Astyanax mexicanus: one gene and its partners. The protein of the gene in region 2 purifies or fractionates together with the protein of the main gene of each other region. This does not show direct contact. Links are inferred from orthologs where the notes say so. Each region holds a gene or a part of one and is shown on either strand. Other genes may lie near its edges. The genes, in order: myef2, sox2, hnrnpa3 and ilf2.

Evidence for each region.
Region 1: the proteins of sox2 (region 2) and myef2 purify together in Homo sapiens (affinity purification with mass spectrometry; 3 studies listed by BioGRID and IntAct, with this or other methods). This does not show direct contact. The link is inferred for Astyanax mexicanus from reciprocal best matches to the Homo sapiens genes SOX2 and MYEF2.
Region 3: the proteins of sox2 (region 2) and hnrnpa3 purify together in Homo sapiens (affinity purification with mass spectrometry; 3 studies listed by BioGRID and IntAct, with this or other methods). This does not show direct contact. The link is inferred for Astyanax mexicanus from reciprocal best matches to the Homo sapiens genes SOX2 and HNRNPA3.
Region 4: the proteins of sox2 (region 2) and ilf2 purify together in Homo sapiens (affinity purification with mass spectrometry; 3 studies listed by BioGRID and IntAct, with this or other methods). This does not show direct contact. The link is inferred for Astyanax mexicanus from reciprocal best matches to the Homo sapiens genes SOX2 and ILF2.

Annotation. Positions count from the first base shown.
Region 1 is NC_064416.1:43,705,971-43,713,780, reverse strand, and holds the start of myef2 (myelin expression factor 2), read left to right. Parts: upstream 1-4,789; 5' UTR 4,790-4,857; coding exon 4,858-4,976; intron 4,977-7,178; coding exon 7,179-7,390; intron 7,391-7,810. UniProt on the Homo sapiens protein: Transcriptional repressor of the myelin basic protein gene (MBP). Binds to the proximal MB1 element 5'-TTGTCC-3' of the MBP promoter. Its binding to MB1 and function are inhibited by PURA.
Region 2 is NC_064423.1:26,444,731-26,451,599, forward strand, and holds the start of sox2 (transcription factor Sox-2), read right to left. Parts: upstream 3,019-6,869; 5' UTR 2,627-3,018; coding exon 1,640-2,626; 3' UTR 547-1,639; intron 374-546; 3' UTR 270-373; intron 1-269. UniProt on the Homo sapiens protein: Transcription factor that forms a trimeric complex with OCT4 on DNA and controls the expression of a number of genes involved in embryonic development such as YES1, FGF4, UTF1 and ZFP206. Binds to the proximal enhancer region of NANOG.
Region 3 is NC_064418.1:32,177,915-32,184,915, reverse strand, and holds the start of hnrnpa3 (heterogeneous nuclear ribonucleoprotein A3), read right to left. Parts: upstream 3,009-7,001; 5' UTR 2,907-3,008; coding exon 2,901-2,906; intron 1,478-2,900; coding exon 1,355-1,477; intron 1,263-1,354; coding exon 1,116-1,262; intron 941-1,115; coding exon 730-940; intron 642-729; coding exon 552-641; intron 21-551; coding exon 1-20. UniProt on the Homo sapiens protein: Plays a role in cytoplasmic trafficking of RNA. Binds to the cis-acting response element, A2RE. May be involved in pre-mRNA splicing.
Region 4 is NC_064410.1:45,267,163-45,274,330, forward strand, and holds the start of ilf2 (interleukin enhancer-binding factor 2 homolog), read left to right. Parts: upstream 1-4,141; 5' UTR 4,142-4,256; coding exon 4,257-4,261; intron 4,262-5,895; coding exon 5,896-5,955; intron 5,956-6,774; coding exon 6,775-6,817; intron 6,818-6,909; coding exon 6,910-7,014; intron 7,015-7,168. UniProt on the Homo sapiens protein: Chromatin-interacting protein that forms a stable heterodimer with interleukin enhancer-binding factor 3/ILF3 and plays a role in several biological processes including transcription, innate immunity or cell growth.

The DNA of each region.
Region 1 (7,810 bases), on a different chromosome or scaffold from region 2:
ACTACTTAAAGTATAAAAGGAAAGGTAATGTAAGGGGAAAAAAATAATGCCATTAAGATCAAAAGCTGAGGCCACACCACAGAGTCCTATAGTGCAACACAACCTAACAATAGTAATATAATGTGGGATGCACTAGGCTGTTCCCTGTTTCAGCTGCATATATGCTGATTGTAAATGAATGTATTTTAGTAGAATAAAGTAAATATATTAAAGAAGTTTAGTTGGACTGGAGTTTATCTGGAGTTCTCTTGAGTCTCTGCACGGATCATCTTCATACTAGACTACATACATCTGCTATGTTCTTGCTGCAGTGTGTGTGTGTGTGTGGGGGGGGGGGGGGTACGTGTGCAGGTGTGATAAATTACAGTATAAACCAATAGGGAGTCGGAATGGTATATGTTTATACTTCTCTACATCCAATCACAATCAGATTCACTCTGTCTGGATGGAGAGATTTATCAGGATGGGGGTTTTATTGAAGGATGAGAAGCCGGAATGAAAACGAGCTGAAATGAAACAGGAGTAACGAGGCTGTTTTTATTCAAATTATTATTCAGATAATTGTGTGAAAATGTAAGAAGTAGAAGGAAAAAGCCGTTACTCCAGTAAGTAAGCTCATGAAGTATTTGGACTTTGTTACTTGCCACCTCTGTTTTGTTACAATACTATGGCCAAACAGTTTATTAACAGTAAGATAGCAAATAATATATATATATATATATATTTTTTTTTTTTTTTTTTTTTTTTTTGGTAACACTTTATAATAACTTTCATTAATATATTTTGAACTAATGTTCAGTAGATGTGAACAAAGCAGTAGTTCATCAGAATTTGAATATTAACAAAACAAAAGCATGGATATTCATATTAAAAATGTTAGCAAATCATTAGCTGATCAGAATTTCAACATTAATAAATTGCCAGTAAATACAAATTTTGAACCGTACAAATGTTCATCAATTGCATAGTATTTGCAAATGTGATATTACATCAAATGTGATTAGTTAATGGTATATTATTGAAAGTTATTATAAAGTGTTATCTATTTTTTTTTTGTAAACCTAAATTAACCGAATAAGGATGACCAAGTCAGGGGAATGAATTTCTCCTGTGAGGCTCTTACTGTCTGACGGTACTTGAAAGCACCATGAACTGTGTTACACTGAATGGACAGGGCTAAATTACATTAGGCTGAATGGGAGGAGAAATAATACTGCTGACTGAATGGGCAGATCTAAACTGCTCTGAGCATCTCGCTCTGTAAAATCACACCTCTTCATTTATTCACCTTAAAAAATCCATTTTTGTGTATATTGTAAACCACATCCATTAGAAGTAAAACAGTAGCAAATACATTAGAATGCAATATGTAGCACACAGCATTAAAACTAAGCCTCTAATTCTTTGGATAAGAAACAGTTGAGCTCATATTGAGACTCCATCTGTCTTTTATGTCCTTCTGTCTTATTATTGTGTCGATATTGTGTCGAATCTGAGCACAATATGAGACTTTACTGAGATTTATACTACGTGATATTACTGAGTTTTAATTTTAAACGCAAGAGATACATTTGAGCAACAGGAAGTTTATGCTAAAATCCCCTTTGTCTTTCCATTTGATCTCATTGTTATCAAGATGAAATGATAACAAGTACAAACTTTTGTTGAAATCTCACCTTTGTTAACCTCCAGCGTTCTGAATTACAGAACTTTTAGCTAATGCTCTTAACAGGCTTACAATCTAAGTGATAGGGGCATAGATTTGTCCATGCAAAGAAATCACTATTTTTCCACACTTTATTGGTAGAATTCTAAGGGCTCTGACATTTAAAACGAGGCACTGAGAACTTGCACAGAAAAAGTGAATATTATTATTATTATTATTATTATTATTATTATTATTATTATTATTATATATTTTTTTATTATTTAAAAAAATAGAAATGCATGAATTCCAGCTGAAAATCTCTATATAATATTTATTCTGCATTTTGTTCTAAACCCCTTGATTTCAGAAGAAAGAATGAATGAGCAGGTGTTCCTAAACTTTTGTCCGTTGTCCAGCTCAGTGAATGCGAGTGTGTTTGAGTGTGTGACAGAAATCAGCTGATCGGTCGAGGTTAATCCTTTTTTACACACACACACACACACACACACACACACACACACACACACACACACACAAACTGCAATGCCTTTCTTGATGAATTGAAAAGCGTTCATGCTGGCCCGTTTCCCGGCACAGCATTATGGACGGCTTGGAGTGCTGTAATAGTGGGCTTATTGACAGAGACGAACAGACACATACACACACACACACACTCACAGGCTGATGTTCGGCCTGTCTCTGCCATGCTGAGACAACATTATTATTATTTAATCATCAAAGTGCCGCCAGACTTTCTTTCTTTCTTTTTTTTTTTTTACAATCATTCTACTGTAATTTATGTTGGGTCTGACCTCTCCGTCTCCTCTGGGTAATGGATCATTAGTTCATTAGACCTCTGAATCCCCTTCTGCATTAACAGGAGGATAAACTCCCACATAATGAGTGATCGTAAGTGGTCTAACATCACTGTCCAATAAACAGCAATGACGTGCAAAACGTCTCTCAAGGGTTTATATCATGACAACTCTACCTTTATAGAATACAGAAGTTTATGTAGGATGCTTTATGTATGATGTATTGCCAACTATATACTGTACAAGTCAAAAGTTGTGACTTACCTTAAATTCAGTGTTTTTTCAGTGGAGTTATAATGGAAAACACCAACGAAAGGACATCAGATTCAAAATTGTAGACATGCACAAGGCTGGGGTGTGTATATTGTATATTTAAGCAGTAACACACTCGAAGTTCATGCTATAACATGTAATATTGGCACTGCTGTGCTGCAGTCATAGACACGAGGCTGCAGGCCAATTACCATAAATCAGCACAGCAGTGCCAATATTACACGTTATAGCAAGAACATTACCATGCATTACCGGCTGATAACGGCACTCTCAGAACGCCTTTCAGCCAATCACATTGCAGCGTTGGAACTACTTGCGGTGTAATGTGTGTTACATTTTGCCAAATGTTAATATTAAATCTGTTTCATTCTTTGTAAATACAGCCTAAAGCTGCCTCCACGTCATGTGGGAAATATAATTTTTGGGTCTATGGTAACCTCCCTAGCCTTTACAGAAAGACAGTCCCTTGAAAAAATATTCATATCCCTTCAAGTTTGCCACATTTCCTTATGTTATACACAAAAACTGTAGAAATAAAATGTATATGTAATAAAACAAAACAATGTAAAAAAAAAGGAATTATAAAGAGAAAAGAAAAAAGCCACCTTTTGCTGCAATTACAGCTAATAATATTATTAAATAATAACTTATTTTGAGATACTAAGGTATTATTTTGAGGTACCACTTTTGAGGTATTATTCTGAGGCCACCTTTTGCTACAGCTCAAGTTTTTGGGGCATGTGTCTATCTGCTTTGCTCATCTACAGGCTAAACATTCTCCGTCAGATTGAATAGAATCTCTGTGAACAGCAATTTTCATGTCTTGCTACAGATTCGATACAGGATTTACGTCTGGATTTTGACTTGATTGCCTTGTATTTAGCTCCACCCATTTCCAAATAACTCTGAACATCCTCCTCATCAGTGCTGAAAAAAACCATGCCACAACCATGTTTCACAGTTTCACATTATTTTGAGATACTGTCATTATATTGTGACACTAAGTCATTATTTTGAGAGACTAATTTGTTATTTTGAGACACTAAATCGTTATTTTGAGATACTAATTTGTTATTTTGAGACACTAAGTCATTATATTAAGAGACTAAGTCGTTATTTTGAGATACTAAATCGTTATATCGGGACACTAAGTTGTTAATTTCAGACACTAAGTCGTTATTTTGAGATACTAAATTGTTATTTTGAGACACTAAGTTGTTAATTTTAGACACAAAGTCGTTATTTTTAGGTACTAAGTTATTTTGAAATACTAAATTGTTATATTGAGATACTAAATCGTTATTGTGGAATACAAAATTGTTATTTTGAGATAATAAGTCGTAATACTAAATAATCAATTTGAAATACTAAATTGTTATTTTGAAATACTAAATTGTTATTTTGAAATACTAAATCATTAATTTGGAATACTAAATCGTTGTTTAAGACACTAAATTTTTGGGAATACTAAATTGTTAGTTTGGAATACTAAATCATTAATTTGGAATACTAAATCGTTGTTTGAGACACTAAATCGTTTGGAATACTAAGTTGTTAGTTTGGAATACTAAATCATTAGTTTGAGACTCTAAATAGTTTGGTATACTAAATTGTTAGTTTGAAATACTAAATCATTAATTTGGAATACTAAATCGTTAGTTAGGAATACTAAATTGTTAGTTTGAAATACTAAATCATTAATTTGGAATACTAAATCGTTAGTTAGGAATACTAAATTGTTAGTTTGAAATACTAAATCATTAATTTGGAATACTAAATCGTTAGTTTGGAATACTAAATCGTTATTTTGAGACACTAAATCGTTAGTTTAGAATACTAAATTGTTAGTTTAGAGTACTAAATCGTTATTTTGAGACACTAAGTGACAAAAAAGGCATTTTCTATTTTAAAGTTATGAATTAATAAAACCAAACTGTTTCCAGCGGGATGTTTAAATAACTCAGAGCTGCCTCTCCGCGTGCGCGTGTGTGTGTGTGCGCGTGCGCGTGCGGGAAGGGAAACGCCCCTCTTTGGAAATATTGGGAGTCGTGCTGGAAGTCTCGCGATATCAGCGGGCAGTGAAGGAGACGCGCCGCAGTGTTTGAAGCGCAGAGAGAGACCATGGCCGACAGTAATCTCGAGTTCGATAGCGAAATGAAACAGGAGGATTCTTACGACGCTTCTCTAAACATGGAGGAGGACGGAGACGCGCCGCCCGAGAACACAAACGGCGTGAAAGCGTGAGGAGCTGCGGCTTTTTTTCTTTGTGGAGTCGGATTAGCCTTAATGCTAACAAGCGGCCTTCAGCCGGCGGCTAATGCTAACCGGCTAACCGGAGCGCGCCTACACTGAAACGGCTTAATATACAGATACCTAACCTAGCGTTTCTTCCTGAATATATATGTTATATCGCTCTGGTTTAGACTAATTACAGATTATTCACAATTTAAGGTGATTTTTTTCTAGTATTAGTGCAGAATGATTCGCCCTAGTTTGATAGTTGTGTCTCTGTGTTAGCTTAGGTGCTAAGAGGCTTTAGCCACCATTATCCATTTAGCGTTAACAGGGTTAGCGGGTAGCTGTGCTAAGCTAACTAACAGCTAACCTAATTTAAATAACGGTCACCGCAGTGTTTTTTATTTATTAGTTAGTTGTAGATTTAAGCAATTAACTATTAGCCAGGCTTATATAGGTAGTACGTAGTCCCTTGTGTAAGCTCTGTTGCTAACTAGACACCTAGCTGTAGTTAGCTAAGGTAGATAGCTAAGTGGGCCATTGTTAAACAGCCAAAGCTAAAGTTAGCTTAGCTCACGCAGGATAGGTTAATTTAATCCTGTATTTATTGTACTTTACGTCAGTTAACTAGCTAAGTTAATTAGATTGGCTATACCTTTTATCTACAGTAAGCATATAGACTATAAGCTGGGTAACTATTGCTTTATACAGATGTGTATCTAAATGTATGCGTGTGTTCTTATGCAATCTATTAGATACTTAAGCTAGGTTAGCTACTCTTGCTCTCTAGCTTATTGTTAGAAGTATTAAGTCATAAGAACCCAGACCGTGTTCTGAATATTGATAACGATTTCAATATAAAATCAGATAAATTCAGTCAGCAGCTTATTAATGTTTTTTTTTTTTTTGTGGGCACGTGACTGTAAATATTTTAAGGTCAAAATCATGATGCAACATAAATGGAGCAAAAATAATTTCCTTATTTTATTTTTAAAAATTCTTGAAGTCAGATCAGAACTGGTTCTATGGAACACAAATGATTGGAGCTATGGATGTGCCATGTTGTATCGCATGCTAAAATACTGGCAGTATTTGTTAATATCGTTATTGCAAAAATACCCTGACAAGTTTATATATATATTTTTTGTTTGTAGCAAGAAGAAAATCCATCCTGTTCTCATTTCGCAGTAAATAATATAAACTAGAGGTTTACTTAATCTTGAAAATAAAAATTAGGCTAATTCCACCAAAACAAGTGCCAAATCCCTCGCCCCTTGTTGTAACAGACCTGTAGAAGCAAATAATACAATTTAACATGTCTAGCTGTTATGTTAAATGTTAAATAACCACATATATGTATTAGAATTAGGCGTTTTGTATATTGCCTCTGTGTATGTTTGGTTCACACACATTTGTAAAACGTTGATTTAAGGACTAACTCCCTCTGGGTTATCCTATAGTTGGGTAGAATGATAAATTTAGCAAACATTTAACTAAAGAAGTTTACAATTTTAATTGTGATTGTTTTAATAATAATAATAATAAAAACTTTTTGTAGCTCAAAATATGTTGCAGTACCATCGAATTTAAGAGGACTGATTACACTTCTTTAAAATATACTTGCAGGTAGTCAGTGTTCCTTAAGTACCGATGCCCAAAATATGCTCATAAAAGCACACCTTAAATCATAGTAATGAAAAAAAAAATAATAAATGTGCCTCACATGACACTGGTGCATGTTTTCATATCTCCCAAACTAAATGGTCAGTCATGTTTTTATTTAGGTACTGATGAAGTTTTATCATTTATTAATTGTTTACCTTTCAAAATTAATCAAATAAAATTAAAACAGGCACCAGTGATTACATTTTAGGACTGTCTTTTAATGGTATTCAGTGTATGTGTTGTCTTCAAACTAGGAGTGGTTGAATGCATAACCATGCTTTTGATACAAGACGCAGTAGTAGTGTCAGTTAAAAAAAATACTGTCAAAAACACTCGCAGTTATTTGTATTCAATATTTACTGTCCTGGAGCCTGTTAAGACCCACTTCCTGTTTGTATGATGCATGCAGTTTGGATTTGTTTTATAATGAACCTCAATTGACTAAATTAATATTACACATTATTTTAGGTTCAGAATAAACTGCATGAAATGCTAAGGTCTACAACTGCACTGATGCATGCCTTCTTTCTTTTCTTACACAGTGACGACGCTGAGGATGCCTCCACAGAGAAATCGGATGGCAAAGATAAAGAGAAGTCTGGAGGCGGCCGGAAGTCCGGTCGCTACCACCCGTATAAGGACCGGCACGGGGGATCTGAAAACAAGAAGGCCTCTCAAAGAAACCGCGTGTTTATTAGCAATATCCCTTATGATATGAAGTGGCAGGCAATTAAAGATCTAATGCGAGATAAAGGTAAAGGTTGCAGAGCTTATGGCACACACATACCCTCCAGTTCCCTCTGTCAGCATCGCAAGCGGCTTTTTCTTATTGTATGATGAAAATCAGGCAGATGAGCTGACGTTGAAAGATGCTAACATGGACAGGGCTTCTTTTTTTTCCTCTTGGGAGGAGTTAAACTACAGATTTGGTCTTATCTTTCCCAGATGATAAAGATTTTTGGCCTTTGTATTTGTAAATAGCTCCAACATGTAACCTCAGTGATTTTTAGATATTTTTACTGTAGAATCTGTTGTAAGGAGATAAAGATGATTGTAAATTGATTATATTTTGCCTGAAATATTGGAATTTGGTTTATACAATGCTTATTAGAAGGTTGGTAAAGGTGGATGTTCACCTTAAAACAGTACTGTGCTTGAAAACTGTAATTGCTCT
Region 2 (6,869 bases):
GTCAACAAGCAAATAAAACTCTTTAATTTAAATGAAATTATAATTGAACTAAAATTAAACAGGCAAAATAATTAAACTTAAACCTAAGATTTACCTGAGTTGATGTGAACAAATACATTCCATCTTTTCATAAAGATATAAAAGTATCAACCTGACAGATCTGCCCTTACCACTTTTTACAATCGCGAGTAAATTATTGAGATTAAAATGTATTTAATCACGTTCACACATTTATTCAGAGTAATGTACTTTAAATAAATGAAATCTACCTCATGGTGGGTTTTCAGCCTTTTTGGTAGGTTTATCAGCCAGCCCCATTAAAATGCAGATTTACAGGAGAATAAAACCTCCGAAGAGCCGATGAGCCACAGTCCTTCACAACAAAATACAGAAACAGAAAACGGTGTTAAAGCTCGATCTAAAAAGCTCAACACAGACATTAATGTGGATGCAAAGCTGACACTCGCATGCACTCCTCAAACACACACGCACGCAGTTGCTTTACTGCTCTTTAGAAGATATTAGAAGACATTTTCAAATACTTACAGTCAAATGAGCCGCATATTTTTTAAACCGAGAAGATGGTCATGCAGTTTTCGTTTTTTGTTTTGTGCATCACTGACTATTAAAGCATATTAAATCATTTGTGTCCTGAGTGGGAGGTAAGCAAATGAAACCAACAACAAACCTACAAAAGGAAGAAATAAAATCAAAACCCAAAACAATTTCAAATATCCAAATTTCAAAAATTTATTCATTTCAAACTGCATATTGAAAAAAAACTCTCTTACTGAAATTGTAACTGTTATGGTGCTATTAGTTCAAATATATATATATATACATGGAGTGTTGGCATCTGCGTACAGGCCACATTTTTAAAAATACAACTACGGAAAAAAAGAGTTAAATTTTTTTTAAAATAAAAACTTAAAATATCACAGTAAATATACAGAAAATTTACAAGCCATGAGAAAATAAAGAACACAAACTTCATATCTCTAACAGATGGAGGGTTGGGGACTAAACAAAACAAAACAAAATAATATATAAATTTACGTGCGAGTGTTTTTGTATTTCATCTTTTTTTCTTTTAGAACTAAATTAAAAAATGTTGTACTGTCTTTCACCCTCAAGGAGAAACATTTCCTGCTTTATATTTTTTTCCAGCGGTTTGCAGAGACTGGAGCATTAAGCATTGTGAGTTCTGCATGATTTAGATTTTATAAAAAAAAATCACTTTTTGTAGTTTACAAACATTACAACTGATTGTTATATGTTTTTGATAAATACTGTACAAAACGTTGATTGCAATAATAAAACATCATTTGATTGATTCTCCCCACCCTCCTCCCTTTTGTATGTTTCAAAAAAGAAAAAAGAAAACACACTTAAAAAATAAAATAATTTTTGTACGGTTCCTACCGTTTCTTCTAGCGCATGACTTGCTTTCTTTCAAACGAAAGCAAAGAAAAAATGTTTGTGTTCTTTCCTCGAGTCCTGTACAAGTTTTCCCTCACCAAAAAGAAAAGTTCTGTACAAAAATAATAATAATAATTATAATAATAATAATAATAATAATAACAGTAGTAGTCCAGTCCCAGTGTTTTCGCGTTTGTGTAAAACGGGTCCAAGTGTCCATCTACATGTGCGTTAAGGGCAGCGTGCCGTTGATGGTCGTCCCGTGCACAGGTGCGCCCTGGTAGTGCTGGGACAGGTGCAGTCTGCTTTGGCCCGTTTGATCCTGCACGTCCGCACCGGGCAGGTACATGCTGATCATGTCCCTCAGATCACCCGTCTGGCACGGCTGGGCAGCGGCGGAGCGCGAGTGCGAGCTAGATGTGACTACGGCCGGTGGGCTCGCGCTGGACTCGGACTTCACCCCGGAGCTCATGGAGCCGTGCAGTGTCATGGGGGGTCCGCTCTGCTGCTGGGAGTACGCCATGCTGCTGTACGTGGGCGAGCCGTTCATGTACGTCTGCGCGGTGGTCATGGAGCCGTACTGCAGCGCGCTCATGTCGTACCGGTGCACTGGTGCCGTGGCCGAGGTCTGCATGGGCGCGTTGAGGCCGGCGTGCTGCGCGTACCCGAGCTGGTCCTGCATCATGCCGTAGCCGCCGTTGCTCCAGCCGTTCATGTGCGCGTAGCCGTCCATTCTCTGGTTCATGCCGGCCCCAACGCCGGAGCCAACTCCAACGCCGACCCCAACACCGACGCCCACCCCGCCGCCACCCGGTGCGAGGAGTCCACCAGGAAGCGCGTACTTGTCCTTCTTCATCAACGTCTTGGTTTTCCTCCGCGGTCTGTACTTGTAATCCGGGTGTTCCTTCATGTGCAGTGCGCGGAGCCTCTTGGCCTCGTCGATGAAGGGTCTCTTTTCGGACTCGGACAGCAGCTTCCACTCGGCCCCCAGCCTCTTGCTTATCTCCGAGTTGTGCATCTTGGGGTTCTCTTGGGCCATCTTCCTGCGCTGGCCCCTGGACCACACCATGAAGGCGTTCATGGGTCTCTTGACCCTCTCTGGGCTGCTTTTCTGATTGTTGCCCCCAGGGTTGTTGCTATTCCCCGTGCCCCCAGTGCTCGGCTGAGGGGCCGGGGGCTTCAGCTCGGTTTCCATCATGCTATACATCTAGAAATCGTTGTCAAAAACCTTCTCCACTCGACCAAGAACAAAAAGCACCAGCAGAAGAAGTAGTAGAACTTCTGGCAAGTGAAAAAATACAAAAATAAATAAAAATAAAAATAAAAAAAAAACTAAACAAAAATAAAAACAAACCAAGTCCAAGCGCTCTCTGCGGCAGCCCCCCTTCAGCCCGTGCTGGGGTAAGTTTTTCTGCAGTTCTCCACTTCGTCTATTTCCCCCTCACTCCTGTTTTGCCCACAAACTTCTCAAGTCTTCAAAAGAATCAACAAAATTGAGCTTTTTTTTGCCCCCTTTTCCACGCCGGAGCCTTGACAACTCCAGATACTTTTGGTACAAGTTAATAGACAACCGTTCACGTGGAAGGACTGTCAGCCAATATAAATGGTTTCTCACCTGACCAATCGCAGCGCGGGGTTTGGTGGGTTAATTAGCATAAAGGGGCGGGGCATTGGGAGGCTAGAGTGGGTTTCCCAGCTGAGTTTGAACAGAAATCTCTCTCTCACTCTCTCTCTCTCTCTCTCTCTCTCACTCTCACACACACACACACACACACGCTGCAGATATATGAAACAAGTTTAATTTGAACGTGATAATGTGCAGTGTTTAGCCCTAATGTTAGTAACTTAAGTGAAAGCTGTGGAAGTCAGAGAAATATATATATATATTTCCTTCGGGATAAAGAAAGTATAATATATATTATATGATATATGGGTTTTAATATATGTTATTTGAGTTTTCACCATCTAACTGATCTCCCTGCCTCGAGACACTGCTGCTGTTTATTATTAATTTCAAATTCTCCTCATTATTTCTAATGTCCAGTAATTTTTAAGTTAAAGTAAATCAGAACGCCAATATTGATTTGGTTGATACACCGTTTAAAACCTCAAAAAGTATCACTATGTACTGACCCACAGTGAAAGAAGATTTTACTATACAGTTTTATTCTCGTGCATAGTGCAACCAATGGACGAACAACTGCAGCTTTATATTTACTCTGATAGATTGTGCACACAACAGTTTGAGATAATTTCAGCACCTCCTGTGTTTGATTTAAACTTGTTGTAAGTTATAAGCCCTCTAGTCCAGTTCAGTGCCAGTCCCAGTTATAAATAAACTGGTGAGAGAATGAAACTCTCTGCAGAGGAAAGTGGAGCCGATCTGGCTTACAAACAAGGCTTATTGTAGAGACAAACACGTGCAATCAGATCACTTTTAATTCACAAAAAGCACGAGCCGACGAGGCCCTCACTGTGTTTCAACAGCGCCCTCTTCCGGCCGGTTTGACTAACGCCTCTAATAGTGCCCCAAGCTTCACTGCAGTCTAAAGAGTAGCAGTGTGGTGATCTGGACTAAAATGTTGAGTATAAACTAAATTACTCTGTCTGGAAGAAAGTGTGCTTTGTGGCCAATCAGCCAGGATTTAATTTTTCAGGTCTGAATTTTTTTCCCCCTCATTTCCATTATTAACTAACTTTTGGATTTTGCACAGAGATGCTGGGGTTTAAAAACATTTTGGGTAAAAGTTTTAAAATGTTAAAATTTGGATTAGAATTTTATTTCGAATTATATTGGTTTTATAATGTATAATATTAAATTTGGGCTAAAATAATTAAGTTTGGACTATAATGCTGTAATTTGGATTTAAATTTTAGTGGTTAGACTACAATTTGGGAGTTGGATAGTGGCGGTTGGGGCAAGATGCTGGGATTTAGACAAAAATATTTAAATAAAAATGTTGGAGTTTAAATTAAAATATCTTGCATTAAAATCTTGTAGACTAAACTGTTGGTGAATGTGGTAAAAGGTTTAAGTTTAGGGTAAAATGTTGTGGCCATTATTTTAGCTCAAGACTAACTCATAAGGAAGAAGTGAAATGTTTATAACGTTTATAAACCCAACTGTTTTTACAAGGTCAGAGTATATTGGTATAAATTGAGTATAATGGTGTATAAGTGGTAAGATGCGTATGTGTGTGGCTGAGGTGTAGTGGACACCCCTCTCTCCCTCTCTCTATTGGGGCCTTAATCTGCTTATGGAAATGCAGTGAACAGCAGGAAATCAGAAATCACCATCATCTGTATTTGTCTGTGTGTGTGTGTGTGAGAGAGAGAGAGAGAGTCCTCCTTAACTGCACTTTTCTTAATTGACACAATTACAATACAGCAAATGTTCACACACACACACACACTTCTATGAGACTGAGAGCAGACAAATATTTTCATAAAGAAAGAGCTCATCCAGTGCTTAATAATATCTCACACACAACCAGAAAGCACATAAAAGACTGCTGTACAAAACAAGCCTAACCACATCAATACAGAAGAAACTCTATAATTAAATATATACATTAATAAAATCAAAAATATTAAATATTAATATTAAACTTAAAAAATGTATTTTTAACACTATGAAACAGACTAAGCTAAAACACTCAAACCCTATTTCAGCTAAGCACACTGACATCCACAACTCTCCATTATCTCTCTAATTATTCCTCAATTTTATAACATAAGTCAAAAAATAAATATTAAAAGTAGATTTACATTTCTGCATAATTTTGGAGATAATTCTTTTTAGCGATGTATAACAAAAAATCATTATATTGTCTGTGTGTGTGTGTGAGTCCGTTCGCATTGGGCATGGTTTGTCCACTAGGGGGCGCAGATGAACAGCAGCTTGTGTAGAAACTGACTAGTTTTGGGGGGGGGAAATAATTAATATTTCTATTTATATTTTCTCATAAACGTAACACTTTTTAAACAAGATATGAGCACACACACAATTGGCCAAATTGACAACAACAAAAACTAAATCAATATATATATATATATATATATATATATATATATATATATATATATATATATATATATATATATATATATATATATATATATTTTATTTATAAAAGCCCATTCACGTGATATTAAGTTTAAAAACTTTTACTGTAAAAAAAAAAAGGCGCTCGTAAAAAACGCGTTGATGACGTTCGCATCGCAGGCAAATGCACATGCACGTAATTGCGTCAACAGTTGTTCTTAAATGAGAGCAGCGCATGTTTAATATTTAGGCATTAAAAACAATTATTTCAGAATGAATTCCCTTAAGTTTAACGTGTGTGTAAACTATATATATATATATATATATATATATATATATATATATATATATATATATATATATATATATATATATATATATATATATATATATTAGTGTAAAATATAGTGTAAACGCCCTTTAGGCATTTAACACATCTAATCAGCACTTTCCACCCTCAACCAAACACACACGTTTCTCACTGTGCTGATACACACTCACCTCACTGGCTGCTATTTCTCCTTACTGCCTGGCAAATGCCCATATCCACAGTGCATCTGTCCCAGAGGTGCCAAAACTTTTACCAAAAAAGGAAAAAAAAAATCCCTCAATTGCTGCATCCAAAGCTTCAGATCTCCAGTTTAGCCAGTCCACACACACTGCCTCATACGCACAATACACACCTCATATTCACAGTTCATAACCACCTCGTACACTTCATAGTCCATGTAAACCACATAAATCTCACTCCTTGCACGACGTGCACTCCTAGCTCCCTAGCACACTCCACACACTCCTCGCTCGCCTTCGCTCCTCTTTGCTCGCCGGACCTGGAACAAGAAAACGCCGTTTTATGGCTACACACAGGGCTGATTTGAAAGAGGAAGAATGCATCAAGAACAACAAAAGTCAAATTATACCACCACCCCCAGCACCGAGCATAATGAGGAGGAAAAAGCTTTGTATTTTTTTTATTTTTTTTTCCCTCTCGCCGGGTATTCAAAGATAATTTGAAGCCATTGTTTCTTCCACAGATGGTTCTTTTTTTAATACAATAACGCTGCTCTTTGTGTGCACTACCCACAATAAAAATCTAAAGCCTTCTCCTGAATAACCCATTTTGTTCGCTCTTGTAAAGGGCCAACAAAAGCGGCCGGGAGCTAATGGGCTCGCTTTATTCAAAGCCAAAGAATGGCTATTTGATAAAGAATTTTTTTTCTCCTCCCTTTGCTGAGAATGCATTGCCATGTCATACAAAGCTACCGTACAGTTAATTTCACCAAAAAAACAACAAATGCCACATTATTATCATTATTATAACTATTATAATTTTGCAGCTAAAATTCCAAGACTAATCTTCTGTTGCTGAGTCAATTATTTAATCCTCAGAAAAGTGTGAATAAGC
Region 3 (7,001 bases), on a different chromosome or scaffold from region 2:
ACCTCCTCCGCCACCCCGATCTAAAAGGGAAATAAACAAAGGAGCTGAAAAGTAATCTAACCTTTTCATGTTTCCTTTTCTGCTGTTTGTTTACACTAAGGCAATAAACAGGAAATTTGACTTTTTTTCCTGAAACGTTTCTCTAAAACAAATCTCTAACAATTCTTAACAGCATTTAACAATTATACTTTAAAATAGGAGTGAGTATGTTTTTCTGGTGTTGTGAATAGTGTATGCAATTAATGAACACTATCCAGCTGCACATTTTGCTAAAAAGATCAATACTACTTTGCATTAGTAGAGACTAAAAAACAAAAAGTAATTCAAACAAGTATTGTGATGTACATTACATTCAATTACACTATATTTTGTTATGTCTTATTATATAAACATAATTGTATGCATTTTGAGACTATCCCTGAACATTATATTATCTTTGCCATATCACACACCCCAACAGAATTATAGAAAGTGCCTCACACACAAATGTACATAAATTATTTGACTATTGATGATTTGTGATATGATGATTATTATGAGGTTGTACTTACACCTCTGGTTAGAAGCTGCTTGCATTTCCTGTTTTGGGAGTGCTTTCCTGACTTCACAGTTATGAGAGTTTATGGTGTGGTATTTCTGGGCTAGAGAGAAACACAAATGGGAATTTTTAGTGCTTGTACTAAAAACAACAGCTACAACAAGGCAGATTTTTCGTGAATATTTTCTTACCAACAATTTTATCCACAGTGTCATGATCATCAAACGTTACAAAACAGAATCCTCTCTTTTTCCCTGTTGGCCGCTCCTCCATAATGTCAATGCTCTCAATCTTCCCATAATGCTCAAAGTATTCTCGTATGTGATACTCTTCTGTGTCTTCTTTTATACCTCCGACAAAAATCTTTTTTACAGTCAGGTGGGCCCCTGGTCTATTCGAGTCCTAAAAACAGTAACAACATCAAGAAAAGGTATTGCAAATTATGTAGGTTTTAAGGCAATTATGTTTGAGTTCTGGAAGCGAAATCAGTGAACTATAGATGACAATCTTTAGTCTTAAGAATAATCCAAAAACTACTAATAATATTGTAGAGAGTAAAAACAGTGCATCAAGATACCTCTCGGGAAACAGCCCTTTTAGGCTCAACGATGCGTCCATCAACTTTATGGGGCCGAGCACCCATTGCTGCATCAACCTCGGAAACACATGAATAAGTTACAAAGCCAAAGCCTCGTGACCGCTTGTTCCCTGGGTCCCGCATTACCTGTGGAAGGAAGTAGTTAGCAATTAAAGCTTACACTGAAAGAAAAAAAAATCTAACAAAATGCCCCAAACAGCACTGCAGTTCTCACTAACCACACAGTCTGTGAGTTTGCCCCATTGCTCAAAGTGAGCACGCAGGCTGTCCTCTGTTGTTTCAAAGCTGAGACCGCCAATAAACAGCTTCCTCAACTGCTCTGGCTCCTTGCTGTCATGACCCTGTTGACAACAAGAAAAAAATATTAAGAAACATTACAATTAGCATTAAAATTCCCAGGTTCCTATGAAATGTAAATGCATCTGTAACTAATGTCCATTAGCTATTACAGCTTAAAAAAAGTAGTTAATCAGCAGTCATAGGCTTGTTAGAAATGTTCTGTTTGTACAGATCCCCTGAAGTACTGTTGCTAGTTATTCTAAATAATACTTAAATAAAACTTAAATAATTTAATTAACAGGCCCTCAATTTAGTAATATGCTGCTTGAATTACATAAACTTGAATTAATAAACATATAACCATTCCCCAAATTTAACAATCCAGTCTGTCAATTAAATTGTATTTACCTTCGTTTTAATAGCTAGCTAAACTGTTCCTTCAACGCTGAATTCTTTCTATTAAAAAAACCTTTTAATTTCCCAATAAAACCCGTCAATTAAATAATAAATAAGTAATACATTTAATAAATTATTTCCTCTAAATAATAATTATCCACTCCCTTATTTCCTTTATAGAAATAGTTAACCCTCCAATTATCCAGAGCATCCCCTGTAAACCATTGGTACAATTTGTTTATAGAGAAAAATAATTTTCTAAGCTGATACACTGGGAGCAGGGGCTTCGTGTCCGAGATGCTACAGGTAAGGGTTTCAGTTGAGCCATTTGACTCCGGTAAATTTTATATGGATGATTTTGAACTGACTGAGAAACGCTACATTTCGACACAAGCCATGTTCTTTACAGGAGAAACCGGTCGCTGAACCTGCTGGCTATCTTATCAGCACTGCCCTCATCCGCGTCTGGAATATTCCAAGCGGGTTCTCCTCAAACGCCATTTTAGAGCTGTTTTCCTCTCTCCACCATATTGTTAGCCTGTGTTTTCGTGACTCTTGTGTCATACTGGAGGAGCAGTCTGGACTTAGACTACCGTTTTCCAGTTACTTCCTCGCCAACATCACAGCTTGACATTCAAGCCGAAATGCAGGAGATTAGCGAGCTAGCCGGACCGGTGTTAGCTGTGGGCACTAACTATGCAGGAGTGAGAGTATTCACTTTCCGTTTCGTGATTTAACCAAAAACCACAAGCAGAAATGTACTATTCGGCTGGTTCAACTTCCCCAGTTTCTGAATTACCACTGAAAAATATTCATGTGCAGAGTTACCTTAGCTACCTAGCTCCCTTTACCTAAATCTGGCGAGAACCACCCAGCTAGCAAGCTAACCTTAGCGTAGCTAGGTAGTAACTAGCTTAGCATAGCTAGCTAGCTGTAAACACGACAGCCAGCCAGCACAGCAGAACCAAGAGCCCAAGCTGCCACCTGTACTTTACTGTACTGCGTCTTTAACCTAAACCTCTTATAATATTTCTAGTTACATGCCATGCAATAAAGCACAGTGATACACAGCTAATAAACGGTTATTACCTCCATGTCGCAGCGTCTGCACCCCTCCTTTTCACACCAGTGCTGCTGCTGCTTTTCGGGGCTGTAACACCAGAGACCACCACCAGGGGATCGAACAGTCAGTCACCCAGCGCAGCTGCTGTCTCTGAAACACTAATAAATATTAGCTGTTTTAGCTTGTTTGTTTGCTCAGCTTTCAGCCTTCTTCAGTTTTTTTAGGTAACTGTTCCTAAAAGCAGAAAAGTATCTAAATTTCATGATGAATCAAGCAGCAGAAATGCTACAAAATTATTTGGGGTTTTTTTCTTGCAAAGGTGCCATTTTGGTGATATGAGGTGTTTTGTCCTTCAGTTAGGTTATTACGTTATATGTTATTTCTCAACTGGTTGTATAATGAATATTGCTTTTATTCTTGAAAGTGTACCAAACAATATTGTGGCGTCTGTGTGTGTGTGTGTGTGTGTGTGTGTGTGTGGCTGCTGTGTGCCTGTCTCTGTGTGCCTGTGTGTGAGTGGATGTCAGGTGTGGGGCCTCCCTTTTAAGTGGGGTTATGCAGAGTGGTGATCTACCATCCGGTAGATTCCTAGTTGGTTTAGTGACCTTAGGGCTGTTTATGCTGTGTGAGCAGTTGGGTTTCGCTCTCCTAGCCTTGTTAAAGGCTATAAGTAAGTGGCAAGCCTGTTAAATAAAGAGCTGTTGAGTACTGTAATGAGTCTAACGAGTCCTCCTTCCTCTTCCATGCCACATTATAATAATGTATATACAACAACATCCTTTATCAGTCCAAAGTCATTGGAGTGTTTTCTTAGAAAATCGTACATCACTTCATGCTTCCCACTGCTGACAACTTTTATGGAGAAGTGGATTTTCATTTTCCAGCAGGACTTGGCACACTGCCCACACTGTCAAAAGTAGAAATTTATCTTATATAATATCTAATCCAATCTTCTGAGACACTGGTTTTTGGGTTTTCTTTGCCTGTAAGCAATTCATATTTTGAACTAAATTACTGAAATAAAATAACTTTTCAATAATATTCATTTTTTTTAGATGCATCAGTACTGTATCCTCAAAGTGAATAAGTAATTTAGAGCGTATGACACTGGGAAATGAGAAAAATAAAGAGACAGACAGAGTAACATCCTGTAACTTATATATATATATATATATATATATATATATATATATATATATATATATATATATATATATATATTAATTTTTTTTTGTTTTAGATTTCAAAAGTACTAAAATTGGCCTTAATACGTTGCTTCATTAAGGCTATTTTATATTTTTAACACAACACTTATTGAACAATAATATTTTATTTAAATTTTAGTGAAATCCACATTTTATAGGCAGCCACATTACCTTATGTAAGTCTTAATTTTTAACCAAAAATTAATTTGTCCTCTGTGTGCGCTACGGCCCAATCTCATTTCACCCCTTTGCCCCACCACTTAGCCCTACCCCTCTGTTTTGCTTGTGCAAATGTCTAGGGGTAGCGTGTCCCGATTTTTTTACGCTGGAAGGGTAGGGGAGTGTTAGGGCTACATGACCCTTCAAACGCACACTCAAAAAAGAGGGCTAGAATCACTGGCAAGATAGCAGCACAAACAACCAAGGAAACCCAGAAATTTAAGTTTTCCTTAGTAGAAATTACAATATCTACTATAATACCATAATTTAATGTGTAGTTTCAATGTTTTGTGTCCATTTTCTCCATAACAAACATAATTTAAGATCCCCATTACAGAGGAATTAAGGAATGGACAATAATGAAGACAATGCCCTGCTAGTTAACTAGCTAGTTAACAAGCAACTAGGGTGCTGAACTTTAGCGCTTCACTGCTAAATATCCCTATCAGTGTTTAAAGGGATATCCCAATTCTTTAGTTAATGTTTTTAGGGGGACAAAGTTACAAGGGGAAGGGTTACACATGAAAACAAGGAGTACAGATAAAAAAAGACATCCTCAACCTGAACTAAACTGGGAAATGAAAAAAAATTAACACTGATGCTATTATTAGCAGTGGAGTACATACCAGCTCTTCCAATCTTGTGACTGGCTGGTTTTAAAGCAGCCAGTCAGGTTTAGGTTATTGTGAGTCAAACAACAGTTAGGAATTCTTTACAGGTTATACTAACCAGTGTAGCATATGGGGCTCACATGGGTGAAATGTGGGCTAGTAGGTGTAGGCTCAGAATGGGTTTGCACACAAATGGGCTTCATTAACAGACACCATCATTACCATTATTACTGCCCACCTCTATCCCTATCTAGATAATTTATGCAGTGTATGAACCAAGATGGGGACCATGTTTTGTCACCTGTCTTACATTAAATAGGGCTGTGCATTGGCAAGAATTTGATACAGGGTTTACGATTTAAAATATTGCAATGTATTGTGATACTGTAAGGCAAGACTATATTTTGTGATGGTTTAAATACATTTTTGGGAAAATTCCTATAGTATAAAATTCATATTAAATCTGAATTACAACTGGATCTGGATCTAGCAAAACGGACTACCCTTAATATTCACATGTAAACTAATAATAAAAACATTTTTGAAAAACGATACAGTATTGAAAAATAAAATACTACAATACTTCGATATATCAATATTTATTTCACCCCAAACACTGACCCTGGTGAAGCCTATCAGTGACATCCACATGAGGGACCAACCCTGTGGACAAAACCTTCTGGTTCTTAGTTTTGCTACTCATACAGGCCCAATATGAGCATGTTATCTGGGAAAAGCCTACACTTGTTGATATAAAAAGGTAATCCTGAATTGACAACTTTTACAGTTTATCATGTTTGTTTCTTGGCCTGTGGTTTCCCAACTGCAAATATGTAGTTTACGTGATCTTTCCAGTTTCCTGTTTTTCTTCAACCTGATTCATTTCATGTATTAGTTATCAAGTTCATCTCAAAAATAGGCAGAACCTGTTCTATTGGTTGATGAGATTTTATTTTATTTAATGTCACCACTATCATATTGTGTTCTTACTGTTTTTTTTTTTTTTTTGGAGCTACAGCGCTTAAGCTGAACTTTGGACTCAGTAACTGGCAATATATCTGGCTTTTTAACTAGCCTTAGTTATAATTCCCACATGACCTAGTTGGACTGAGAGATTTTGCAATAGCTTGTAGATGGGGCTGTTGGATAAATTCATATTATATTGGATTTGTTTCAGTATAATATTAGGATATATTTGTAAACTGTGTGTTAAAGTTAAAATGGGAGTCAAGAACTCAGTAGGCCAACATAATGGAGACAAGCCCTGTGTGTGTCTGTGCTTGTATGCAAGCTATGTTTTACCACAAAAAAAAACAATACTGCACATTGCGTCACTCTGGGTTGATTATTACTCAGATACTCATTCATTCTCACTTAACTATAAAAACACAATAGTGAGTTGTTTGTAAGTTTAAGCCTTCCGTGAGAGAGCTGTGTACAGAGCACTTCCTGAAAGATGCAGGAAAACTGGTTTTCAATCTTGCTGTGATCTTTTTACAAAAACCTGGGAACATAAACCTGATGGCCTTGAGTTCCAGACACGTAGCACCTGGACTGCTGCACTGGAGCCTACAATAGAGTACTGCGCCACCTGCTGGATGCTTACAATCCTCCTTTCCTTTAGACATATGGTGGCCTACAAGCTGTTTACTTGAGACCCCATTCACACTGATCACAGTATTTGAGTGTTTTAGATTTAGTATGTGATATCACTTCCTTAATTAAGACTCTAATTCTACAAGAACTTTTCTCTTTTTTAATTTGATAGCAATGTTAAATGCCCAGTACATAAATAACGCCAAATTCATGACTGGTGAACCAGTAAACTGATGTATTTGTTTATTTCAAAATGCTATTTATTACAAAAATATGAAATAAAAGTCCCACACAAAGTACAAGCCAAACAATTTCAGGTTTTCACTTTTATGTCACTTGAAATTGGGTAAAATCTTTTTTTTTTGTAATACTATTGTAGCCTGCCGTAAGTTTTAGTATGCTGTTATTCATTCATGGTAACATGTAATTTTTGGCAAAATTTAGGTAACATCCAAGCCCACAATACTTTCATACACTCATGCTGAAACTCAGGACT
Region 4 (7,168 bases), on a different chromosome or scaffold from region 2:
CGTGTGTATGCCGTCCCTCAGGGACACATATACACACACACACACACACACACACACACACGCACGCACACACGCACATACATACAAAAGTGATCATTCTTACCCTCTCCCAGGGACACCTATTCAGTTTGAACCAGAGATATTTTTACCATCTGAACTTTTGAAAATATAAAATTTATCTTTTATTGGAGCTATGTCAAGATCAAGGTTTTAATGAACAAATGAATAATTAAAAGATGGTAAATGCTGAGTTTATGAAAAGTATATAAAGTTATGTACAGTGTTTCTTCTATATACTTTGAATCAGCAGCCAACTGCTGCAAAATCACTGCCCCTGCTGCTTTAGAATTTTATAAAATGTAATTCAGTTTTTTCTTTCAAGATTTCTTCCTTTTTTCTTGTCACTGAGGTGGGCTGCATTTGTTTCATTTAATATTATTCAAAATTAGGGGTGGGAATCACAGGATAACAGGGCATCTCATGATACAATATTATCACAATCCATGCTGTCCATGGTAAAAATGGTATCAAACTACTTTGACTCTGTGATACTTAATATATCACAACACAATTCTCTATGGTTCTTCACAGCATCTGTGTTACTGAAGAAGATAAAATACTCCTAAATAAGCAAATAGCAGGAATTATCAATTTATTGGTGAAGGTTTCACAGAATTGGACAACTAATGTGGAGTAATGAAACAGTAAGTCAAATTGGGGGAGAGTTTAGAGTGAATATGTTTTAACAAATATATATAGATATTTGATTTCACATACCAATATAATCCAGTCTAACCAATACTGCAATATATTGCAGTATCCATATATTGTCCAACCCATACTTAACAGCAAGTATAAGAGGCACTTTAGTGTACTGTGAATACTGTGATGACTTTTTATACAGTCAGGCCTAGGGGAAAAAGCTAAAGTAGAAAATAACTGATGTTTTTTTCTTTCATGGACATTATGAAATCAAATTTGATTTTTTTTGATGGCTATTATCTGAAGCATTACTTTGTATTTCTAATATGAATTTATACAATGGGAACATAAAATGGAAGAATTGTCCATACAGGATAAACATATTCCGATCCAGGGATACATTTTACAGGCCCTAATGAGCAGATTACTTATACAGACACAGACACAGTACGATCCACTTCTAACTCATAGTTTAATGCTAAAAACATTTTAAACGTTTTCTCACTGTGTATTCATTTGTTGGTCTATTGGAGTTACTTTGTTTTCATAACTAGTGGTACAATTACATTATATACATTTTCTTTTGTAGACTCCTGTAGACTTTTTTTTGTTTAAATGTGCAGAACTCCATACTAAAATCTGTTCATGGGTAAACACTGGATTTAATTAATAGTGACAGACACTATTGAGAGGAAATATTTCATACCTGTCAAGTCTCCCGTTTTGGCCGGGAAACTACCGTATTTTACTCCTCTTTCCCGCCGTCCTCCCGTATTAGTATTTTCCCGTAAATTTCCCGTATTATATTAAGATTAAAAAATATATATTATTAAGGAGACAGGGAGCTGACTGCTCTGTGTCTCTTAACCAATCGTGGAGCCGGTTCAAGGAGAAAGTCCCGCCTTTCAGGAGAAACAGCCAATCAGTTTGCAAAGGAGAGTCAGTGTGGTGAAGCCCTCAGTCGCTGTGAGTTCAGGCAGCTAGTCGGAGCTGCTGATGTTAAAACATATCTGGATTTTCAGCGATTTTTCTTTAAGAAAGGTCTAATCATGTAAACTGTGAGGAGATTTTTCTGATAGCTGCTTAAAAATACTCGTCTCTGAAATAAAACACACAGATTAAACCTTTTAAAATAAAATAAAAATTACAGCTGACTCAGCTTAACTAAAATGTGGAGAGGACCGAAATGAACTGATCAGGGGTGGAGTGATCAAAAAGAAGAAGTATTAATTAAAAAGTATTAATTGTGTAGGCCACTTAGGACTAATTTTACTGATGGAATATATGTGGTCCATGTCCTTTTAGTAAAAGCTCATAATACTATTTTTAGGTCACCTACAGTCATTTTGCAGAATTTGTGCACCCTTTGTTCAATTTTAAATCTATTAAATAAATAAAAAATATATCATATAAAAGAGTGCATTTATGGCAAAAAAGACATGAAATCTTAACTTTTTTTAATATCTAGAAAAGGATTTTAATTTGGCTGTATTAAAAAAATCACATGTAGAAATGTCCACAACATTTCAGATTCTGATAATCTAATTTTAGTGTGTAAGTGGTTCACTTGTGGTTATTTTAGATTTTTTTGTAAACCTGTCTTAAAATGTAAGGGATACTGAACCTTCGTTGGGCTGGAGGGACGGCTTTAGGCGGACAGAGGAACATATCCCTTATTTTTAAATCTAAAACTTGACGGGTATGATATTTATCTAATATTTTATACCAGTTGAGGTCTTTTTTAGATGAACACTGACCAATAATGTGCTGTTTGCTGCCATCTGCTGTTTATCCTGCATAATCTTACACTTTCAGAGCACCTCACAATTCTAAAGGTTTGGGCACCCCGTGCCAGATTAATTCCATGTTGACCCGATGTGACAGTAGGTTTTAATTCTGAGCAACAAGCAGCAGCCCCGATTCCTCTAATTTAATGAGTCTTCCAACATCTGTTTGACTGAAATGTAAACCTGCAACCACAGAACCACCGTTCTGTCGAATTGTCCTACTTTGTCGAACCGTGCTGCCCTAATGTATATTTAAGTGTAAAAATACAAAAAAGCACTATTTTAGGGCCCAGTGAAATTCCAGTATATGTACGTTATTAGATTTGGATAGCATAAATCATTGTATCATGGCAAAGGTATGGCAAATAAAGCTCATTACAAACTGCTTTTGTATTTATTTATAATAATTGTAATTATTAGTTTTCATTTACACTTTTGTGCAATGACAGTGCGTCCCTCTAAAACAGATTAATTATAAATAAAAAACACGAGATATAATTAAATTGTGTATGTCAGCGCATGCGCAGTACCTTTGGGAAGCATGTATCGATGGGTAGAACAACCTGCTCACTGTGGACAGGTCTGACACCCCTGCTTTACAGAGAACACACCTCTACTGAACATGCACTTTCTCACCTCAGACTTGAAGGGGTTGATTCTCATTTTGTTCTGTTCACACTCAGCTGCAAACCACTTAAGTGCACACTGGATGTGCCTACATGTACAGGCCGACATGTCAACATAACCTGCAAACAGCAGAGAAACAAAAGCCCTTACTGCCTCCACAAGAAGACTAAGACTAAGATCTAAATCTTATCAACCCCTCCTAAACCCTCACACCTCCAACCTCCAGCCCCCACTTTCTCTTTCAGGTGGACCTGCATGACTCAAAACTGACAGTAAAGCATTAAACAGAGCTTTATAATACCATTCACATACATTAAATCCACAGATGTCACAGCTAGCAGAGAACGTTGTAAGAACATTTAGCAACGTTTTGAAAAGGTAAAATTTCTGCAATGTTACAGAAATATTGGTCCAGGAATGTTCTGAAAACATACAACATAATGGTTTGCACTGCAACGTTAATTAAACGTAACTTTCCCAGCTAGTTGAACACTAACATTATGGAAATGTTTAAAGTGACATTCCCAAAATTGAAAATGAAAACATTGACACAAGTGACATTGCAGGGATATTAACACAACATTAAAAAACGTTTAATAAAGACTGGGACAAATCTAATCTGATGTCAGTCATTTTTTATAATTTAATTCAATATAAGAAACAATTAAAGTGTTTTAATTGTGAAATAAAATAGAAAAGTGCATGCAATTAAAAACGTATAAAAAGCACACACGCAATTTAACAACCATGTATTCATTTTGTACCAGTGAAAGCTATCGTGCTAAAATTGTTTATGGGTCATTGGCGTGTTAATATTAATTGGAATTATTTATTTGTGTTTATTTTATTCTTTGTAGCTGTTATTATTTTTTATTAATTTATTCGTCCATTCGAAATAAATAATATTTGGTAGTAAGAGGTATTTTATTTAGGTGTTTTTTCCCGCAGAGAAGGGGGTGCGGTAGGTTAAGCATGCAGGGACTTTTATTTTGGGGTACTTCTGCTCTTTGTCCGTTTCCCCTGCTGCTCTTTCAGCTTTAGCTCAGCTCAGCTCGTCTCAGCAGCAGCGGCGGCTCCGGGTGCCGGTGACCCATTTTCATCTTTTCTCTGTTTTATAAAGCTGCCAACACGTCTTACGCAATGAGGTGAGATATCTATCTGCGCTGTTTTGTGACATTCGTGTTTTTTGGGGTGAAATGCGCAGTAATATCGTTATTTATTGAGAATGATTTATCGGCGTTTTGAGGGCCTTTAGCCTACAGGCTAGCATGAGCTTAAACTAGCCTAGCTCGCTAGTTTAATATCTGGCGTGGTGATTAGCCTGAAGTCAGGGGAATTGCTCGGTGTTACTGTATGATGTCTTGTTAAAGGAGTTGTTTATTCGTTGGTGTTTTAAGGCTGGGTAAATGCAGCTATTTGTGTGTTTAATCGTCGTCGCGTCGCTGTGTGTGAATGAATGAATGAAACCCCAGTTTAGCCGAGTGTAGCTAACAGTTAGCTGGTATTAAATTGATGATGGGTAGCTAATATTGACCTAGGTTAGCTGTGTATTTAAAATAACCAGTCTGTGTTCTTGGAAAACACATGAATTTGTTTCATTTCAGTGTGCTTAGATTTGTAATTGGTCCATTTTTTTAATGGTTTTCTGTGTACTAGTTCAGCCTGGCTTAAAGATAGCTAGCTAGTCCTGGACAGGCTGCTTAATTAACCCTCTATGGCATGATGTTGCTCTCAGGCAACAAAACATATTTTATTACACCATAGCCTTTATTTATATAGCTTATTTATTATGTATTTGTTATTTTTAATGTAATGTTAAATGGCATGTCTGCGTTCTAAATCATGAGGCGTGCAAGTGGATCATAAATAAAAATAATGTTACTTAGATGTGCAAGAATTATGTAAAGAAGCATATTTGGCTATTTATATTCTAATAAGTGCTGGACGTTATGACCAAAAATCGATGTCACATTTGTTTCAAGATTCTGACGGCTTTACTGTATTTTTTATTGTATTTTATTTTATTTGCATGACTGGGCTTTTATATAGGTTTATGACTTAATGAATGTTTATGAATACAAACATTAAGGCTGTACTATTGGGTGTATTTTGTTCCCCAAAATTACACAACCTATGACTTCATTAGTAGAAAAACAGATGAATGTAAACAATAGACCTTAGAAAAAGATGTGCCTACAACTTCCTTTACAAAACTAAATAAATAGTTAAAACTAAACAGTAAACAGACCTAAAATACTAAATATTTAGTATTCAAGAGCTATTTCTAAAAAACCTCAATAACATCAAGCAATACACAATTTTAATATTTTAGTTTACAATGTTATTATTGAAGCCATTAGAGGAACTACAGTATTAAAGCCTCATTTTCCTTCTTTCTGTAGTGTGAATAAATTCAGTGTGCAGTAATATTATCCATATGAACCGGTATGCTGCCCAGCACTAATTCATTTTATGTTCTTTTGCTTTTAGCTTAATAAAACAAGTTATTTTTCAACATTATATAGACCTCTTTTGGCATCGGCATCATGATAAAGCCGTGGGGATTCAAATAATCAGCAAAAGTTCTCAAAGAAAAAAATCTCCCATATAGTGGTGTGATTTTTTTTTTTTTCTCCCCAAAAATATAACTCATACTATAGATTGTTAATGCTATGCCTTGAACAGTAGCATCAGCTGTGGGTTTGTGTGCACTAACCTAGATTATGTTACTGGACTAATCTAGCCAGTTATCTAACATGCTTCTTTCTTCTTTCAACAGAGGCGATCGTGGAAGGGGCCGTGGTGGTCGCTTCGGCTCCCGTGGAGGTCTAGTTCAGGGGTAAGATAATGTGATCAAAACCGTTAGATTTGCTTTGTGTTAATTTTGGTTTCCAAGCTGGGTCTTGAATTAATGGATCTCACAATGTGTACAGGCTCTGGGGCTAACACAGTTTGAGAACCATTGGTTAAAAACATAAGCCTAGACCCACTTCTAAGTATTGATATCAAATTTAAAATTACATCTGATAAATTGAGTGCGCAGCTCATTCTCATTCTTTTTTACTTTGTTCAGACAACTGTAAGTATTTTACAGCTAAAATCCTCATGTAACTCAAATGACAACAATTTCATTACCTCTATTCTAATGTTTTGTCTTAGAAACAGTGTCATCAGAACTAGTTATCTAAAACCTTTAAGTGAAGCATTTTAATTGTTAAAATTGTTGGATTAGACCTGAAGCACAAATTCCTGCATTCTGTAAGTAAGGTCAGATGCATTAACAAACTGACATGTGATCCTGTGTTAGGGGTGTATGTTACTTAGGGGTTGTATGAGTTAAAATGACAGACAATGCTCATAAGGGGTGTGTGACATGTCAATATTGGTTCTTTTGGGTTAACTCAGAAGATTTGATATTAAGCACAGTGATTTCTTTACTCAAACTTATTTAAACAGGGTAATGAACTGCAAAATTGAATTAGGTCTGTTTATGCAGACAACTCCAAAGGAACCCCTCCCTGATTTGGTGGTCTGTCGTGGCTGATATTTTTTCAGTTTTTATTTGATGTTTACATGTATTCCATCAACAAAGACAAGGTGCTTTAAGCATTGCTTCAGTTCTGCTATGTCATTATTTACATTTTTGTTTGGCTTTCAGGTACCGCCCTTTTGTCCCACACATACCGTTTGACTTTTATGTTGTAAGTAATTTTTTACTTTATGCTTTTAAGGCGCTTAACATGTAGATACTGTAGTGACAGTTGTACTCATAAACCAAATTTTGCTTTTCCAGTGTGAGATGGCTTTTCCACGAGTGAAGCCGGCACCTGATGAGACTGCATTTAGTGAGGCTCTTCTGAAGCGCAACCAAGATCTCACTCCAACACCATCTGAGCAGGTAACCAAGTTTTAACACTACAACCCAGCAATGAAATTGTGTGGATAAAATCAGGGGATAAAATCGGTCACAATCAAAATCTGTCTGTGTACGAGTATATTGTGGAATTCTGAGGTTTAGAGAAACGATAGTAGCTTAATTGATTGTCTATATT